5 linked regions of the Oryzias latipes genome follow. The protein of the gene in region 5 interacts with the protein of the main gene of each other region in a pairwise test. Links are inferred from orthologs where the notes say so. Each region holds a gene or a part of one and is shown on either strand. Other genes may lie near its edges. The genes, in order: pknox1, mal2, fsd2, agtrap and pbx3.

The links.
Region 1: the proteins of pbx3 (region 5) and pknox1 interact in a two-hybrid assay, tested with the Homo sapiens proteins (2 studies listed by BioGRID and IntAct). The link is inferred for Oryzias latipes from reciprocal best matches to the Homo sapiens genes PBX3 and PKNOX1.
Region 2: the proteins of pbx3 (region 5) and mal2 interact in a two-hybrid assay, tested with the Homo sapiens proteins (2 studies listed by BioGRID). The two-hybrid records come from large-scale screens. The link is inferred for Oryzias latipes from reciprocal best matches to the Homo sapiens genes PBX3 and MAL2.
Region 3: the proteins of pbx3 (region 5) and fsd2 interact in a two-hybrid assay, tested with the Homo sapiens proteins (3 studies listed by BioGRID and IntAct). The two-hybrid records come from large-scale screens. The link is inferred for Oryzias latipes from reciprocal best matches to the Homo sapiens genes PBX3 and FSD2.
Region 4: the proteins of pbx3 (region 5) and agtrap interact in a two-hybrid assay, tested with the Homo sapiens proteins (4 studies listed by BioGRID). The two-hybrid records come from large-scale screens. The link is inferred for Oryzias latipes from reciprocal best matches to the Homo sapiens genes PBX3 and AGTRAP.

Annotation. Positions count from the first base shown.
Region 1 is NC_019879.2:31,114,590-31,118,667, forward strand, and holds the start of pknox1 (homeobox protein PKNOX1), read left to right. Parts: upstream 1-1,268; 5' UTR 1,269-1,308; coding exon 1,309-1,380; intron 1,381-2,421; exon of another isoform or gene 2,422-2,485; coding exon of another isoform or gene 2,486-2,536; intron 2,537-2,617; exon of another isoform or gene 2,618-2,739; intron 2,740-3,929; coding exon 3,930-4,060; intron 4,061-4,078. UniProt on the Homo sapiens protein: Activates transcription in the presence of PBX1A and HOXA1.
Region 2 is NC_019874.2:10,913,543-10,917,771, reverse strand, and holds the start of mal2 (protein MAL2), read right to left. Parts: upstream 2,803-4,229; 5' UTR 2,642-2,802; coding exon 2,492-2,641; intron 1-2,491. UniProt on the Homo sapiens protein: Member of the machinery of polarized transport. Required for the indirect transcytotic route at the step of the egress of the transcytosing cargo from perinuclear endosomes in order for it to travel to the apical surface via a raft-dependent pathway.
Region 3 is NC_019861.2:13,794,290-13,798,258, reverse strand, and holds the start of fsd2 (fibronectin type III and SPRY domain-containing protein 2), read left to right. Parts: upstream 1-1,166; 5' UTR 1,167-1,298; intron 1,299-1,334; exon of another isoform or gene 1,335-1,351; intron 1,352-1,404; 5' UTR 1,405-1,530; coding exon 1,531-1,695; intron 1,696-1,920; coding exon 1,921-2,016; intron 2,017-2,240; coding exon 2,241-2,474; intron 2,475-2,657; coding exon 2,658-2,680; intron 2,681-2,806; coding exon 2,807-2,928; intron 2,929-3,649; coding exon 3,650-3,814; intron 3,815-3,882; coding exon 3,883-3,969. Other genes in the region: whamm (WASP homolog-associated protein with actin, membranes and microtubules), read right to left, coding at 1-516.
Region 4 is NC_019863.2:32,259,493-32,262,565, reverse strand, and holds part of agtrap (type-1 angiotensin II receptor-associated protein), read left to right. Parts: intron 1-761; coding exon 762-960; intron 961-3,073. UniProt on the Homo sapiens protein: Appears to be a negative regulator of type-1 angiotensin II receptor-mediated signaling by regulating receptor internalization as well as mechanism of receptor desensitization such as phosphorylation.
Region 5 is NC_019867.2:19,129,175-19,133,282, forward strand, and holds the start of pbx3 (pre-B-cell leukemia transcription factor 3), read left to right. Parts: upstream 1-1,294; 5' UTR 1,295-2,525; coding exon 2,526-2,773; intron 2,774-3,172; coding exon 3,173-3,252; intron 3,253-4,108. UniProt on the Homo sapiens protein: Transcriptional activator that binds the sequence 5'-ATCAATCAA-3'.

The sequences.
Region 1 (4,078 bases), on a different chromosome or scaffold from region 5:
CAGAGGACCCCCCCCTCAGTGGTCCCATGGTGGCGTCATTAAAAATGTCTTTCTGCTCCACACCCCCCGTGTTCTGCTGCTGGTCTTTTTGGGTTCAGGATGTCTTCACTTCAGACGGGAGAGAACATTAGAACTGATGCTTACAGGCAGGAAGCTCCTGAAGACGACGGGGAACAATTACAAAGAAGCAAAGTTAGGTTTTTACAACATTGGAACAATAGATGCACAACATGTAGAAGTAATAACACAAATATCAAAGAGTCCAAAAGGGCAACAAAGAGGAGAAACTAAGGGAAAAAAGATTAAAACATGCACCGTGTTTTAATTAAAGTTCATAGGTTTCAAAGGTTTTTCAGCTTTTTAACCATTTCAAATACTTTCACAGCAGTTTGACTTGTCATGCACCTAATAATGTAGAAAAACACAAAAGGAACTCATTATTACACCACTATTATAGGATGGTGGTGCAGTGGTTAGCGCTCTTGCCTCACAGCAGGTAGGCCCCTGGTTGAAAACACCAATGGGGGGCCTTTCTGTGTGGAGTTTGCATGTTCTACCCATACATGCCTGGATTTTCTCCGGGGACTCTGCCCCCCCCCCCCTCCCAAAATATGCTTCATAGGTTCATTGGTTCCTCTAAATTGTGCCTAGGTGTGAGTGTGCATGGGTGTGTGCATGTGGCCCTGCGACAGACTGGCGACCCTGTCCAGGATGCCCCCTGCCTTCACCCACCAGTGGCCAGGATAGGCTCCAGCACCCTGTGACCCCAAGAGGAACGAAAAACAGTTAAGAAGATGAATGAACCCCCTAATATATACCATTAGGAGCCTTGCAAGGAATCTGTTTTTCTGTGGGTGCAATTAGAAATCTAGAATCAGAAATTTGAGTTTAGCTAATAAATAGCAGTCACTTAGTCAGGCGAAGTTTTGGGTTAACACAAAAAGTCAATAGTTAACAGTTTATCGTTGGTTAAAGCTGTTTTTGTTCCATTTCATCCTGACTGCTGTGCCACAAACTTCAGACTCGCCCAGGGTCCGTTTTTCTCACTGAGTCCGTGTCGGCTGATGGACTGGACCATCGACCAATCAGAGCTGATGTCGAGAAGGGCGGGAGCTGAGTCGGCCAATAAAATTCCACGGGGGGGCCGAGGCACCCCTGCTCCCCTCTTTGGACACACCCCTGCGCACGCGCGCGGCGTAACAAACAGCCTCTAAATCAGGCCTCAGGGACTCGGAGGCATGCTGACGTCAGAGCTCCGCCCTCCTCATCCATAAACATGAGCCGAGCGCTGCTGCGTGCCCCTGCGCGATGACGCAACGCGACAACTGCGGGTCCCGATTGCTGCAGCCGCTTGTCAGTGTGACGAAGATTGGCACTCAGGTAAGCTGTCACTCAAAATCCCTCTTTTTCCGTTCCCTATCAATCAAACAATCTGGGCCGCACGTAAAAATGCCCCAGGGCGAGGAGCGCGGACCTAGTCAAGGCGGCGGAAGGCGTCCTGGGAAGCAAAACCCCAGTGTTAGAGCTGCGGGAGGAATTCAAATAAATAAAAAAATAGAAGGGAGAGGGGGGGTTGAAATATGTCTGCGTTTGCAGGCAGAGGAGGATGGTGAAGAAGGAGAGGGCGAGAGCCACGAGCGAGGCCCGACACATGCAACGTTAGCGCGGAGGGAGGGAGGGAGGGGACGCAGCTGTCCCCGCATGATTGATCGACTCACGGGGGAGGATTTCAAGATCAACCTGGCTACGCGGTGCGCGGCCAGTGCTTTGTGTTGTCCCAGTCCCAACGCTTAACACAATTAAAAATTTGGAAAAAAACGAACAACCACTAAAAGTGTTTGGCTAATGGCAGAGGCCGCAGCTCCGCGTCAGACGGCTCCCTTTGTATCACTCCGCAGCGGGCTTTTTTTTTTATAACCTGGCTAGCACAGTTAGCATGTTTTTTAATCTTGAATGTGATGTTTGCTTTGAGGTTCCCGCCTCTCCACACATGACGGCGCGTGTTTTTACAGCATGAAAAACACTCCCGTTTCTCTTCATGTTCGTTCCGATGTTCTGTAGGCTAGCTTTAGTCGGGAGGTCGGGCTAACGAGCGTGCCCGTTCCTTTACATCCCATGGCGGTGGCGAAATCAAGCCCCCTCTAAACCCCCTTCTTTCATAAAGCACGCAGACGTTAGCCTCAGGGGTGCGTTGGATTTAACCTCCTCTCCGTGCCGCGGTAGCTGTGCTAGCAAAGCCGCGGCTAACTCAAGCTCCCCCAAAACAAATATCCAAATAAAGTGCTGTGCGCTCGGGCACGCGCCCGTGAAAACATTCCCCCGGGATAAGGCCCGTCATTCCCGGGCAGCTGGAACGTCAGCTGCGTGGTTACACTAGTGTTTCCTGACAGAGCGGTGACGTCAGTGACCGTGTTGTCGTTGCAGGTCGGGCCCTGGTCCTGCTGTCTAGGATGAGCCGCGGTCTGCAGGTTCTGCAGTGAACGTGATGGCGGCCCAGTCAGTGTCCCTTGACAAGTACCCGAAGGAGGAGCATCAGGTGGGTGAGGCTCACCTGAGGCCTCCGGCAGCTGCTTCTACCTGAACGAGGTCAAAGTTAACCATGACCCTGATGTTCCAGGTGGTCCCCCCCCTCCTGAATGTTGAAGGCTGAGTGTGTCCTCCACTTGTTTTAGCCCAGAATACAGCAGCCAGCAAAGGACACGCCCCTAAAGTCTGGCCACCTCTGAGCAGAACAGCTTGGTCAGTCCAGAACTTACACACACTGCTCTGTCTCCACCTGTAGAAGTTCGGTTCTCTGACAGCTCCTCTGATGTTCTGAGCAGCAGAACCGTGACCCGGTTCTAAATGTTGGGACTGAGCCTGCAGAACACAGGACGTTCTGATGTGGTTTGATACCGGCCTCCCCCGTTCTTCCTTTAGGGAGGCCATTTAGTGAAACGTTGAGCAAGCTGGACGCCGGTGTTCGATTCCCAGCAGGCTGTTTGGGCTCGTAGTGCTCCTCTAGGAACTGAAGTCACGTGTGTCTGAATTCCTCCCCTGCTCACTCTACAGCGCGTTCTCCATGTTCTAGTTTGTCTGAATCTACAATCCCAAAATCCAGAGCCCTAGAAATTTCCCAGAAGTCTCTGTGAAAAACCAGTGAGCATCAATGCTCACTAGATCTGAGAACATAGACCACAATGCATTGCATCGGAACAAATTTAGCCCCCAAAAATGTCTTTAAATAAATAAACCATCAATGTTTTAATCCTCAGAACTCAGTGGACTCATAAATAATCATATCATAATAAATAATCGTCAGAAAACGCTCATATCAATTAGAGTTTAACTTTGTGAAATCGATGACATCATATCCGCCGTTTAAAAAAGAAGAATAGTGATCATGGAGTCTGAACCGCGTTTGTAATTCAGGGCTCTACATAGTGCTGCACTGCATTTCTAGGGGTTCTGACACAGCCACGGTGGATCTGTCCTTCAGAAGATGGAACTGCTCAGGAACAGAGTTTTTAGCTCGGGGGGGGGGTCGGGCTGGAGAACGTCAGGCTCCTTGATGGGGAGACTGAGGAGCAGAGAGGACATCGTCTCCAGAGGTTTCACTGAAGATGCTGTAGTCCTGCTTCAGAGAGGAGACGGTCCTGTCTGTGAGGGGGCGGAGCTTCATCCTCAGACGCCTCCTCTTCCTCGCTCTCTGCTGTTCTCCTGAATGTTTTTGATGCAACATCATGAAATGCAAGTTTCTCAGAGATGTTCTGGTATTTTATCTGTGGACACAAATAAATGAAAGGAGCGCCATCTTTGTGGTTAAATGAGCTTTCAGAGCGTTGGTGTTCTTCATCTGCTCTGAGCTCAGGAAAGCTTCTACCATGGAGGTCCTTGACTTACAAGAACATGCCTGGTTTTTCACGCCTTCTGGTTTCTCCGTCCCGCAGATGCAGGGCGGGGTAAAGGACGACAGCGACTCGGAGCACACCTTCATCGGGGGGCCGTTGGCAGAAATGCCGAGCCCGGGCCACACGGAGCTGAAGAACCCCATGGATGCAGACAAGGCATCGATCTACCGGTACATCCTGTTTGTGTT
Region 2 (4,229 bases), on a different chromosome or scaffold from region 5:
CCTTGGTCTTTCATTATGTCCCAGTCGAAAAAAACCTGAACTTAAACTTATTCCCATAATTGGTTTTGGGTTGTTCGTAAACATTTTAATCCACGTTACATCCGTCGTCTTTTATGCTATCAAAGCCAAAAAAATGAGAGGTTACTGCCTCAAGTGACAAAAACATATAGATTATATTGATTAAAAACACTCTATGCTCTTAAATGAGCCAGTATTTTAATAAAACTCAAACTGTAATTGTAAACTGATCAATTTTCTTTATAAACATATAAATGAACAAATCAATTAGAAATGGTGAATCTGTGTTGCAACCTCTTGTACATGTGTGTGTGTGTGAAATAAAAACGTGAATGAAAAAATCGCACACATTAATTGGTTTCATTCAGGGAAAAGAAAAAGCTTTACTTCAGCTCATAAGCTAAGTTAAGAAAGTGCAGTGGGTTTTTTTTTTTGTGTAAGTTTTTCTCATGTAAAATCACTGAATTCGTGTTTTCGTTAACATTTCAATCCACAATATGTTCGCCGTTATTTTCTATTAAAGCCTCTAAAAAAATTTAAACTCCCGCCCCGCTGCCTCACTGGATTTGACATACAGATTTCTGCCAATCAGATCAACCAGAAAGGTTACTGCCCCCAAGTGACAAAAACACCCCCTGAACACTTCGCGCAAACCCAGCGAGCATGCAGGATCGCCACTCGGTTAAGATTGCAACTGTGCAGTTGTAAAATGCGGGGTCGCTCGGTTGAAATTGCGCAGTTATAAGTTTCGCTCAGTCAGTCCTTATCTTTGCGCTTGATAAAATTAGTGGCAGCCATGAAACGCCATAGACATGAAACAGAACACCAATGGGGTACCTCTCTGTGTGGAGTTTGCATGGGCTTTTTCTGGGGACTCCAGCTTCCGCCCACCTCCAGAAACATGCTTCACATGTTAATTAGTTACTCTAAATTAGGCCTGCACAATAAATCGCAAATTTATTGTTATCGCGATGCATTATCGCTGTGCATTATCCATATCACAAAAGACAGCTAAAATCGCAATAAAAGGTAAACCTTAAATGTGCTAAAAAAATCTTATGGCCACTTGAATCATAAGAATTGAATACATAATTGAATAAATCCCTTGATACCAATCAGATGGAGCCTTTCACATTGCTAACCAATCCGATGGAGCTTTTATGTTAGATGTTGCCCTCCTAATTAGACGAGGGTCATTTGGAGAATAATTAAAGGCATTTTGACTCTTATTTAAATTAAACTGTTCAGTGAAATGGAAATATTTTTGTTGATTTTGCTATTTGTTCATTTATTGCAAGTTATATCGTCATCGCAATATTGATCACTAATATCGCAAGTTTTCCTCTTATCGTGCAGCCCTTCTCTAAATTGTCCCTAGGTGTGAATGTGGGTGTGCATGGGTGTGTGATTGTGGTCCTGTGACAGACTGGCGTCCAGGATGTCCCCTGCCTTTGCCCACGAGTGGCCTTGATAGGCTCCGGCAGCCCCATGACCCCAAAAGGGACAATCCAGGTTTAGCAGATGAATGATTGAAAGTACACTTTCTTCCTGTAATTGAGGACAAGGCATGTATGCAGTTCAAGAGGTAAATATGAAAATATTTTTCTGCAATGGTTGGATTTGTTCTCCTGCTTAATGCTCCCCTTTACTAACATGAGCTGAAAGTTTTAAGTGTATGGCATCTATGTGAAAATTGTCATGCATCATTTGAACAGTTACCCCGAGGCACTCAATATCTTGGCAAATTAATTATACCACGTAAGTGTTATTGCATTTTAGTTGGTGAATAATTGAAAAACTTTGGCCATTTTGGCATCTTTGCTGCTTGTTTTCTCTCTCAATCTTTTTAAGGAATTTACTTAGCCCTTGATTAAAATGTCCAATTTTTTATGATTCTTTTGAAGCAAAGTATCATAAATTGTTAGTTCATAATGCATTCTTCTCTGATCATCCTTATTAGGTAAGTTTTCTTTTTCACAAAACCAACTAAAAGCATTATTTTAGTGGGTGGGAAGTTCAAGGGTTAACATCAACCAGGCTCACACCTTAATAGCCACAGATCGGCAATTAATTCTTTGAATGTTTCCAACATATGCTCTTCCTTTTCTGCACAAACTAAGGCATCAAGATAAGTAGTAAAATACCTGTTAGATTAGATTAGAGCTTTCATGGAAGTGCTGTGCAGAGGTCACCTTGTATGTTTATGACACAATAATGTAGACACAAACCAAAACTCACTTGTGGTCTTCTTCTATAATTTTATATTAAAGGACGTGACTTTAGCGCACGACTACAAATGTGCAAAAGTCGCATCCCTAAGAGACATGATGTCGAATGAGCAGATACAGTTTGCAACAACAGTAACAAACTAAACTATAGACAAAAACTGATTCCTAACAGATTTTACTATATATTAGTAATAAGGATGTGAATAAATATAGAATAAAACAACCGCTTGTAAACAATCACTCACTATTTCTATGCAGATGAGAACTCCAGAATAAGTCCGTAACACACCCAAACCCAGAGGTAGAGAAATGGTTGCCGTCGGGAAGGAGGTGGCGGCGGCGGGGTCCACCGGGGCAGCGGTGGCGGCGGCGGGGTTAGAGGCTGGCTCCGACATTTTTCACCTCTCCTTGTATCTCCTTGCTCTCTGAATAACTAAGCTCTCTGAATTTACCCGTTAAACAAAGGACGGGCACAGAGGCAGAAATTCCTGCGGAATCATGTGTCCTCGAACAGGTCGGACAGGTGCAGCGGCCACTCCCTGGATACGAGGGATGCGTTCAGGGACGTCTCGGAAGATCCCACATCACAATATCCATTTTATAAAACAAGGACGGGTTTAAAAAGTTTATTATAAATATATTATAAACGTGTTCTGGTATTGTTATTACATTGTAGTCTTGTGTAGTCAACTAAATTAGTAGTTTGACTAAAATAAGTAGAAAAAGCCCCTTTATTTTGTCCAATGTTCTACAGGAAAAGTGTTGGGAAAATCAATTATTTGGAATAACCTACATTTTATTTAACATTTCTGAAAGAAAATCTCGCATGTGTCAAACAGGCACGAGTAAAACATATATGAGGCACTTCTTCAAGTTTTTCCACACTTTTATTATTAGTGTTTGATATTGCCAACTCTGAAATTTGCATGATTATGCTTTTATCAAATGCCCTTTGGCCCTGTAACGATCAAGGATAGCAGTTTTCTTCCTTTTTCTTATTAGGAATCACTATGTGTTTCACAACCCTGTTCCTTAAGCATCCCTGCCCAGAGTGTTTTACTGCTTTTCTCTGTCAAACACACCCAACTCAAATAAATGACTCATTCTCAAGTCATGATTAAACTCAGGAGCTTAATCAGGTTTGTTAGACAAGAGGAAAACTTGACCAGACGGTGTTGGGAAACCTAAATCTTTATAAACCTAAACATGATTTAAAAAAAAACCTGCTTTAAAAAAATAGAAATGACCTAGATAACATTGAAAAAAAAGTTTACTTTTATATTGTAATTTCACCAAAGACTTTTAAAGGAACACAAATGTTACTAAAATAACACTTGTATGGTGTCCTGTGAAATAAATGACAGATTTAAACTGAACCACTGGGCTGTCATGGTGAAAAAGCACAGTTTTTATGATAAACCACTGTCAATGATTAGCTTGAGTTTAGATTATGTTAACCAATGTTGGTTTAACCTCCAAGAGGGCACTGTTCATTTTTAGTGGACTGAATCTTTTCCCTTGTATAGTCAAAGTCTATTTTTCATTGTTTGTGATGAGTTTTTTTCTTGTTTTATACTAGTTTTGATTTGGATTCTCTTCATAAAACCTTTAAAAGGCTCAATGGTTTTTCAAAAATAACACATTCAGAGGTCAAACAGTCGTTCATTCTTTCATCTCCTAAGCCGTTTTGTCCTTTTCGGGGTCAGGGGGCTGCCAGAGCGTGTCCGGCCACTTGTGGGCGAAGGCTGGGGACACCCTGGACAGGTCACCAGTCTGTCGCAGGGCGTCAAACACTATTAATTTTACATTTATTTCATTTATAAGAAAATGTACTCACTGTTTAGTTTAAAATATTAAAGGGCCTATACCATGCAATTCTGAAGTCTGTCAGAGTAAACGACATCCATATATTACCTTTAGCACACTAAATAACCTCTTTTTAAAAAAACAAAATCAAATATGAGTCATTTTCTCGAGCTCATT
Region 3 (3,969 bases), on a different chromosome or scaffold from region 5:
CAGGTTTTCGAAGTACTCCTCCACATCCCGCTCGTCTTGAGTGAACAGCGTTTCCAGAACAATCTTTCGGCCGCAGAAGTCGATCGCTGTGACAAAGTATTTCTCCAGTTTCCTGCACGGCGTGTCGAAGTCCCTCTCGGCGTCGTCGTGCTCCGGAGCTGACCTCCGGCTTTGAAACAGCAGCTCCCACAGATTGCCTTCTTCAAACGCAGACAAGTCTGGAAAGCACGCGCAAAGGATGTCCGCCACGCACGTGAACTGCTGGTGGATGTGCTTCAAGTCGCTGACAGAGAAGAGTCCAGCCCAGCTGAGCGGAGACTCGCCAGCATCGACTTCAGCTTTGCGTTTCTGCCGCTGCAGCGTTCGGTTGTGGCAGGTGACGGCGAACTTTGACTCGATGGCGTTCCACTCTACGATAAAGCCCAGCTTCACTGCCTCGTTCTCCTCGAATATATTACTTTTGACGGCCACCCAGCCGTCCAGACTGTCCAGCCGGTCAACCTCAACGCCGTCCATCCTAAAAACACGTTCATTTGGCCTCCGATGAACTGTTGGCTCTGTTTACAACGTCCGCCATTTCTATCCCGGAAGTAGCCTTCAGGTGCCACCCAAAATACTCGGAATTATTAAAGACCGAACGCTAATCATGCAGACAATGTTAAACGCAGTCATTTTAAGGCACTTTTTTGCTCAAATAAAAAACTTAAAAGTACAGGTATATTTTCACAAAATTGTATGTGGTTATTATAGAAGTAATTATACTTTTACGCTATTGTGCAACTTATTTTTACTTTAATATTAATTGTTTCAAGTTGTGTACCTGTTTCATGTTTACAAAACAGTTAGAATATCACATACCTGATAACAATATACGAAAATACGAAGTTTAACCCCCAAAAAAGTATAAAACAAGAGTCTGTATGTTTGATTTGGACTTTTACAATGACCTAGAATGCCTCATGACGGCATTGACTAACTTTCACCTTTGACCTTTAAAGTCACATGCTTGGGGATTTTCCTTACATCAGACTCAAACTTATGGAGTTATCAAAACTGTTTGTGCTATATTTTTGTCTCAAATAACAAAACACAGAAATGAAACTGTGTTATTCACAAAACTGTATTTGATTTTCCCTGAAATAATAAATGTTTTGCAGTCATTTGGTGTGCTTGTGACATCTGAGCAACATGAGTCCATTCTATTTTTGTCCCAGCTTCTGGTTGAGACTTTTGGAGACTTTGCTTGTCAGACACTCGGCTGCCTATTTAAAAAGAGACTGAATCAGTCAGTTATTCTGGTAATTTTAGTATAATCTTATTTACTATTTTTTAGACCAGCAGGACCTACAAAGTGTGTTTAAAATGAAGTTCTTGTGTTTTTTGTTCTGCACTTTCTTGTTATAGATGTATAAATTGTGGATCTGTGCACTGGTGCAGATTTAAATCGAATGGACCCGAGTGAAGTCTGAAGATGGAGGCTGGATGGGATTGAAGCCAGGCACAAGGACATTTAGCTGAAACTCTACAAAAATGGAGACACATAAAGGAGTTTCAGATCGAGGAGGAAGGACCTTCCAGAGATTTTCTGTCGACACCAATGAGTCCCTTCATTTTGAACCCTGTGAGGACAGCTCTCCGTCTCCCACCGGAATAGAGCATGATGAAGATAATGTGTTCATTAAAGACGAAAATGAGGTAAAAATCCCTAGAATGAGTGTGTTTGTACATTTATTGTATTTAAAGCAGCATGAAAGAATAATTACATTTATTTAAAAAAAATGAAAGCAGTGCACAATTCCACATTTGTTTGTTAGCTAACCAAATAAAAGCCCTGGCAGCAAAAGACTGACTCATAAGTCATGTTACTGGTTTGAACATAAAACAGAAAAAGCTGGAGGCATGACTTGCATTTGCTTTTAGAGTGAAATGACCTCAATCAGGAACCGATTGCAAGGCAAGGTTGCTGAGATGGAGAACTTTGCTGGACACCTGGAGGAGATCTTTCTTACTGTTGAGGTACGATGACAGTCAGGTCTGCTTAAAAAATTAATAAATAAATGTAGTTTAAAAATGTTTCTTCTCCCCACCATTCATGGGGGCTTGTCATTACTTTTGCTACTCAACCTTTGATTTATACATTTATTGTTACGTAAGTGTGTACGTCTACCCTTCTGTGCTTCCTACTCACACACTTGGGGTATGACCCATCATTATTCGTATCTCTGGGCTGGTACATGCAGGAGAACTTTGGCCGTCAAGAGCAGCACTTGGAGCAGCACCACAATGACGTGCTGCAGACGCTGTCCCAGCGCCACAATGAGAGGGCTGCAGGCCTGGTGGAGGAGAAGAAGAGTAAGATGGAGGCTCTGTACAGTCAGCTGCTCTCCTGCGGTCAAGCACTGGATGCCTCCAAGGAGCTCATTGAGACAGCCCAGGAGATCTACCGCACGCCAGACAAGAGGGTGTTCCTGAAGGTACCTGTGTTTTAGTTGTTTCATTTTAATTTTCTAAAGTAGATGTTCAAAGTTGTGTTCGTCTTTAGACACACAATGCCTATTTTTGCTTTTAGGAAAACACACAGTCATTCCATATGCACAAACCACTCATTTAGAATTTTCAATTTAAATCCTGTCCTTTTGTTTCATATATTTTGACAGACAGTTATGCCCATCATTAAAAGGTAACGTGGATGATGCTCAGTGAGTATGCATGGTGTGACGTGGATTCAAAGGGATTTTTGTGTTATTAAACCACACTCTTAGAATTGGGATTGTAGTTTTATACATTGCCTGTGTGTGTTTTGCAGAATTGAGATGTTTGCTAAGGAGAAGGTTGATCTCACATTGTCCACAAAGCTTGACTTTGAAACACCCCAAGCTGATCTGTCTGATGTGAAAACCATGATGGACTCCGTCAATGCCGTCCCAGGTCTGTTATGACCACTTCACCCATTCACTCACTGGCCACATTAGGTACACCTTGCTATTATCAAGTTGGACAGGAGGGGCACCCGGTGTGGTCTTCTGCTGCTGTAGCCCATCTGCCTCAAGGTTGGACGTGTTGTGCGTTCAGAGATGTTCTTCTGTACACCTCAGTTGTAACCAGAGGTTATTTGAGTTACTGTTGTCTTTCTATCAGCTGAAACCAGTCTGGCCATTCTCCTCTGACCTCTGACATCAAGAAGGCACTTCCGCCCACAGAACTGCATCTATCTGGATATTTCTTCTTTTTCAGACCATTCTCTATAAACCCTAGAGATGGTTGTGGGTGAAAATCCAGGTAGATCAGCAGCCCGTCTGGTACCAACAACCATGCCACGTTCAAAGTCACTTCAATCACATTTCTTCTCCATTGTGATGCTCGGTTTGAACTGCAGCAGATCATCTTGACCATTTCTACATGTCTCAATGCACCAAGTTTCTACCATGTGATTGGATGATTAGAAATGTGTGTAGAGGACCAGCTGGACAGGTGTGCTTAATAAAATGGCCAGTGAGTGTATACACACATGTGCATCTATCAAAAAAATGTGCGGAACTCTGGTTTCCATACAAGAACTAAAAAAGATTGTTGGTCCGACTTGAGTTTATCTTTTAGGGCATTACACGAACAACATGTTAATGTTAGTATTTTTTACACATAAAAACAGCTCCATCTGCTCCGGTAATCAACCCCCAGATGTCCAACTCAGCCACGCAGACGTCTTTGCGTGTTTGCTGGAGTTTATTCTCTGACGACACGGTGGAGTACTATGACCTTTACTACAGACCCGTGCTGGAGGACACGCTAGCAGACGGCTTCTGCCAACCACATGGTACCAGGTGGTTAAAGATCTAATGACCCTGGAGACAAGCTGGAGACTAAATGTGTGTTTTTCTATAGTAAGCACAGTAAAAGTGAAGGAGACTCACTGCACGGTGACAGATCTGCTCCCTAACGCTCAGTATGAGCTCTGGGTAACAGCGACCA
Region 4 (3,073 bases), on a different chromosome or scaffold from region 5:
TTGGGGGCGGGGTGTTTAACCTTTAACCCTTACAGAGCCACTAAGTCTCGCCTCACCCTTTAGAGAAGAAGGACACTCATTTGTGTTCTTGTTACCTTTTTGGGGGGGGGGGGGGGGGGGGCATAAGTAACATAAAACATGAATGTGAATGGAAGTCATGAACTACTGTTCACATGACATCCTTTCAAAATAAAAGCCACCCTGTTGATCATCTCTAAGCAGCCAAAGTAGTGGTGTGACGTCAGCAGGGATTGAAAACCGTTTAGTATTTATCGATTTATCACCTCTGCCACAAATGTCTAAAGCTGACTAATCACAATTATATCAAAGCTAATAAAGTGACCTGCATTTTATTTTTTTGAACCATAGGGAGCTTAACAAAATGAAAAAGTATAAGAAATCTGGTTTCTCATCGGCTGCGCCTTGATTGTGGTTGTGCTTATTGACCTCCAGCTGATTTTCTGTGGCTCAGAAATCTGTCTAATCTGTCGGTGAAGGAGTTAATAGTACTTTATTTCACTTTCTTTCAATTTGACTTACCTACTACTTTACAGTTAAAGATTTCATCAAAGTCCCTCCAGGATGAAAGTTCCAGAAGAAAGTAGAGTTTTCACCCGGGGGTGTGGCTCTCTGATATTGAAAACTCTATTCTGGAACTTTTTTCCTGGAGGGCCTTCGATGTAACGCTCAACGTTCTGTTCTTTCTGTTTGGATCTCACTCCTCTGCCTCTGCTCGTTTTCTGCCCCCCCCCCCCCTGCAGTTTCTGGTGGGCATCACGGTGACCATTCTGACCGACATCATCCACTTCGGAGTCTACTTTTCCCCCGGCCTCTTCGACTCCAGCGTGTTCCGCTTCAGTGCGGGGATGGCCATCCTCAACCTGCTGCTCAAACCCGTGTCCTGCTTCTTCGTGTACCAGATGTACCGCGAGCGGGGGGGCGAGTACAGCGTCAACTTTGGTGAGTCCCGTCGGCGCGGTAAACGCATCAGAGAGGGTTCTGGGAGGACGGGAGTCTTTCACCTCCAAACGGGGCAAATGTTCTTCCTGAAGGAGCAGCACAAACCTCCTCCTCCTCCTCCTCCTCCTCTCAGCAGCTCCTTCAACTCCAACAAAACTTCATTTTAGACAAAAGTTTCTGCAGAGCGGGAAGGATTCATTTGAAACGTGTCTACGAGTTTTGGGCGGAGTAAGCCTGCGCTAACTTCCCATCATCCCTTGGTTTACTCTCTCTCCCACTAACTTACAGCCTCCCCCAATCTAGCATTAGCTGAGTTTGTGTATCGCTGATTGAATTTTTTACGTCACAACTTTGGATTTTTTCATCTGCTCCTGATCCCCAGAAATACTCAGAAAAGCAAACTCAACCTTAATTGTCTTTATATTTGATCAGACAAACAAAAAAATGTTAAATACGGAGGTTTAATCTAATCGGACATGATCTGTTTTCAGGTTAGCACACAGTTTTGGAAACCATCCAAAAAACACAAGAATCAATTAGTTTTTTATTTTTATTGTGTTTATTTATTTGAATCGGGACACTGCATATTAATCAAAGATTCAGCATAAATATGCCAGAGTTTTAGCACAAGAGCTACATTTCATCCGTTGTCCTAAGGCAGAAAGGTTCAACAAATTCATCTACAACACATTACAAAAGCACAATATTAGTGATAAAGATATTTACTAAGGTTATTTACAATAAAACAAGAGTCTAAAAAAGCCAAGAAAGACGACAATAATTTGTCTGCAGGACTGGTTTGTTTTCAGCTGTTCTGATTTCTGCTGATCCAGGAAGTCTGATCATCTTAACTAATTATTTAAATTAACTTGAAGTAATCAGTCAAATCCTCCTGAACTTCTGCTGAACATTCAAGTTTCTTCTTTGTTTCTTTTTCAAGGTTTTCCTGTTTTTAGTCTGTGCCGGTCACAAAAAGTTCAAATCAACTCTGGTTTTAAAGTTCTGCTGCATTTTAGCTCCAACTTCAAAAATGAAGCCGGTTAAAAAGTGAAACTGTCCCGGGGGGGTCCGTTGAATCCCAGTTTTATCTGAGAACTTTTGAGGACCAGTTTCTGACATTCTAAAACCCTTCTAACATCACGGAAAATATTCCTTTCTTTTCTGCAATGATGTGAATCAAAAAGCCCCACATTTGAACTTTTTACAAATGACCAGAAAGGTTTTCCTTTAATACTTTTCCTCAGAAATCCTTTTTTTTATCCGTCGACTTTCTGATGCGTCTCCTCCTCATTCTCTCTATTTTTTTGTCCACGTTTTCCATACATCGTTTAACAAACACAACTTTTTATTCTACATTCACTCATTCTGTGAAAAAAATTAAATAAAAAGAGAATTTTCTGTTTTTAGTAACACAGAGAAAAATTAAAGTGAAATGAAAGGGATTCAAACGTTTAAAGCTTTCTAAAATGTGAAGCAAGAATATTTGTGCAAAGAAAAACTGGAGGAAGAGTCATCTGAATAAAAAGCCAACAAGAAGAAACCGAAACGATAGAAAACTAGATTTAAGGATTAAATTTACACCAGAGAAGAGAGGAAAATACTTGGAAATGAACATTGACTGTATCAGAGAACTGGACTGAGCGAGTGTGATGTCATCCACAGAAAATGTTTCTCTTCCGACTCCAACCAAATGAAGTCGAATCAGCCGCCATTGTTTTGTGATTGTGGTCGCCACCATGTTGGAGCCATACGTCATCAGTAAGCAGCCATTGGTCCGAGTCCTTGTTTCTATGGCAACCATTCTCACCAATCAGGAGTGAGCTTGTTGGAAGACCACACCCCTTCCACTGAAAGCAGAGTCACTCAGTCCAGTTCTCTTATAGAGTCAATGGACCGCTCTGGAATTGGAGCATGTGAGGTTTCACCTGTGCTCTCTGGTACGGACATCTTCTCAGAATATTATATATTGCTCAGTAATAAACAGACTGCAGACACTTTGTCACCTTTCTGGTAGCCATGAAGCCTGACATCCATGAAGAACGCGGGCAGGAGGCTCCGCCTTTGTTCATACAGACACGTAACGTTACGCAAACAAAACATGTAGTGATATTCA
Region 5 (4,108 bases):
GAAATATTTTTATTTATCTCTCTGAACATTTAAAGTAAAAAATATATATAAAAATGTTAAAATTTGAATAAACTAAGTTTTGGGAGATAAAGGTTGTGCAGTGAGGTGTTAAAATCCCATTCATTTTTTTGTTTTTTTTTTCCTGCAGTTTTGAGCTTGAGTGTAGGTATTTTACTTTTTTCACATTTCCACAAATAAAGAACAAATTCTCTCTGAACTCTAATTACCTCTGTTCATCGCTGAGTAACTTCAAAAAGTCACAAATGATCAGAATTCACATTTTAAAACTGGGTGAGGTGTAGACAGTCCAGTTTGACTTTTATAAAATGCACTTTTCTTTGCGAGAAATAATGCATGATTGTAGGTGTTTTTCTTCTGTTTCTGTTTGCAAAGATATTAATATGAAAATAAGTCTAGGAATAGAAAACCACGAAGTTTACTGTGATGCTTCATTTAAAGAGGAATCACTCCACAACACTTTCACTGGCGAGACATATGTAGTAGTGTTTTTCTTTTCTTTTCTTTTTTGTTATATTCCCATCTAAATTAAAAATAAAAGTAAAATAGAATTAGTCTATGTAAGGACCAAAGAAGAATTGGAATTAAAAGGGTGTTTTAATGTTTTTTTTAATTATTTTTTGTGTTTTTTTTTGTTTGTTTTTTTAAGATATATTTTTGTCTGAATTAAACATAAATTAAAATAGTATTCACTTGTTTAAGGACCAATGCAGAATTGTTATTTAGAAGGCTTTTACTTTTACTTTATTTATTTATTTGTTTGTTTTATTTGTATTTTTATTTCGAAGATTCCTGTCTAAATTAAACATTAACTAAAATAGTATTAGTTTCTGTAAGGACCAAACCAGTAAATTATAATTTAGAGCTGTAAAAAGCCTCAGAGTACTATCAAATAACCCTAAAAAAGTCCACACCTCATTTTTTCCATCTTACTACTTAATTCTTTTCGTGAATCCGTGCTAAACTCTCACTGTAGAGGAGCATTTTTGTTGCCTTGTATCCAGCTCAACAACTTGTCTGCTGCCATAGCAACTGCGGAGGAGCACCCAGCGCGAGCGCCGCCCGCTTCGTTCAGTCGACGTCACGCGTAGCAACGGCCAATCACAAGTTCCCATGTTTTAGCAAGACTGACACACGAAGTGGGAGGGCGTTTGGCAGCTTGTATCCTCCGCCAATTGGACAGAGGGCCCGTCACTCTCTGCTGTTCTCGCCTTTGATTGGCCAGTGAGCTTTACTTCCAATAATATAAACATGTCTGCCGCTCGCATGGCTTGAACCGAGGCTTGAAGAGCGACTATGCCACATCAAACTGTATAAAACTCCCATGAATTTGCCTGCGGTGTGGGGGCTAAATCTTTATTATTGTTGGAGATAATGCACATAGCTGCACGTGCACGCGTCACGGAAACGAGGACACCCCGCCGCCGCTGCAAGAAAGACAGAGGGGACTCTGCCGTTCTTCTATCATTCTAATCACCATCCTAAGTACTAGCTCCTAACATTTTGTGTTTTGGGGCTCAGGCGAGAAGTGACAACAACATAGACCCCTCCTCTGCAGGGCGGAGCGTGCATTTTCATTTCGTATTTTGTCTTTTTTTTCCCCTACCATTGTAGCCTGCTCTGACACGTCTGCACTGAGTGAGTGGCATTGGCACACTGTCAATCGCTCACTACCGCTGCCATCAAACACATAAAACACACAGGCAGAGGCTGCAGCTCATAAATTTCAGCAGGGCAAGATATTTTTTGCGCATCGTCTTAATACACAATCCTAATTAATTTCTTGTCGTTGTTGCTGCTTTATTTCCTTAACCAGAAATCTTCCAACTTTTTTTGGTTAAGATTTCATATTTTTATAGGAACATTTGGACACCTTTGTGCTACAGATTGTTTTTTTTATTTTTTATTTTTATTTTTTTTTACATTTGACAATTGTCGCTGGAAACATTCCGCGCATTTTGCTGGCAACACCTGCCGAGATTTCTTTGGTCTGTTTCCACATTTGGATATTTTTTTGTTGTTGTTCAGCAGGAGGATATTTTTAAATTTTTATTTTAATTTTTTTTTGGCATCTTCAAGAGGAAATGTGCCGGGAATCTGGTGAAGAGCGCTAAATAAATGAGAGGTCACTAAGGAGCGTTTCTGTCAACACCGCCGGTCAAATCAGAGCAAGAGGTGGAAAAAGAAAAAGACTGCTGCGAGGACTGGATATGATGGACCGTCAATTTTGACAAAGAAGTTTTCGGAAGAAGAAAGATTCATGTGTTTTCTCCCAAATAGAGCTGCGCGTTTTGGCACTTTGGACCGCGCGTAAAGCAGCGAGACGACGCCGACAACTTGGACACATTTTTACGCCTCAGAAAAACAAACAAAAACAAAAACATCCCCCATTTAGTAGTGAGACCGACAAATAAGCCAAAAAGGGGGACATCTGTGCTTTTATTTTGGCCGGACAATCAGTCGTCCATCCTTTCTGCTTGCGGCATATGCTATAGCCGATTTCGTATATGAGTTTTTCAATTTGTGTGGCTCAGTGCACAGACTCTTTAGCGGCTACTATGGACGATCAAGCCCGGATCATGCAGTCGATCGGCGGTGTTAGTCTGGCCGGCCACTCGGTGCAAGGAGGCATGGCACTGCCGCCTCCACATGGACACGATGGGACAGACGGAGACGGACGGAAGCAGGACATCGGTGACATTCTGCATCAAATAATGACCATAACTGATCAAAGTCTGGACGAGGCGCAAGCAAAGTTGGTTGATTTCTATGATTTATTCCATTGACTGTCCACAAAAATAGTCCCCAGCTGCAACAATGTAATCATGTGGCCCGGTTTACTTTGACTGCAATGTGCGTAACAATAGGCTGAAGTGGCTGGAAAGATGTGGAGGTGTAGCTTGTTGATGGCAAAATTGGCACAGAAAAATAAAATCCAAAGTGGCTGCGTTTTAAGTTGCAGAAACTTTGAGTTCACTTGTTTTAAAAATGCATTTACATCTGCAAATAGTTTCAAACCCCCTATATTTTTTTGACAGAAAAGATCATCTGAAGTTAAAAAAAATCATTTTTGAAGTCATCAGTGCTTGTTTTCTTTCTTACATGTCGCTTATCAGTGAACTTATTTCAGTATTTTATTTTTTGTCTTATACTGAAACAGGAAACATGGACTGAACTGTCACAGAATGAAACCAGCACTCTTCAGCGTTCTCTGTGAAATCAAAGAAAAGACAGGTAAGACCAAAAACACATGCAGAAGTTAAAAGAAAAAAAAAAACCAACAACTAGTAGAACATGCATTTTATTGCATCTCCCAGTAATCTAATGACATCCTTCATCCAAGTTACACAGAATTTCCGCCCAAATGAATCCATCATCTTCTGGTTTAAAAAAAACCCAAAACCAAAACAAAGCAAACCAAACTAGCAAAAAACAAAAACATGCCATTGTGCCGTGAGGAAAGGCCACTGCTTGCACAGTACAGCAGGTAGATTGTGTTTCCCCTGAAGACGCTTTTGTTCCTGCTAAAGTCTTGTTATCCAGCACTGGTTGCTTGGATTTAAACAGAAAGCACGCTCCTTCATTCAGCCTCATCACGCTGGCACAGAATAGGATGGGGAAATCCCGCAGCATATGCTCTACACAACTAAAGATCACACAGAATTCATGCTTTCTAACATGACAATTGCTATGCATTTTAAGGAGACTATATAGGCACATAATCTGTTATGGAAACGGGGACATGAACAACAGTGTGGATAAATGCAAATTAAAGAACAGAAACAAATATTGATTGATGGAAATTTGAGTTTTTAAAAATTATGGAAAAAAATTGCTGCTGGCGTATTTGCTTTATGAATGGCAAGTAAATTACAGTTCACATTTTACTGACTTATTTTAAGAAAAAAACGGTCCTTTATTTAAATGAATACCACTGTATTTACAATATTAAAGTGTTAATGATGTAGAAAAACTGTAGACAGTTATGAATAAAGCTACAATAAAATGATCATACAAATTTGCACAGACTTCATCAAATACCTGATATTTATGTGAAACAAGAAAACCTATAAGCACATTTAAATAATTT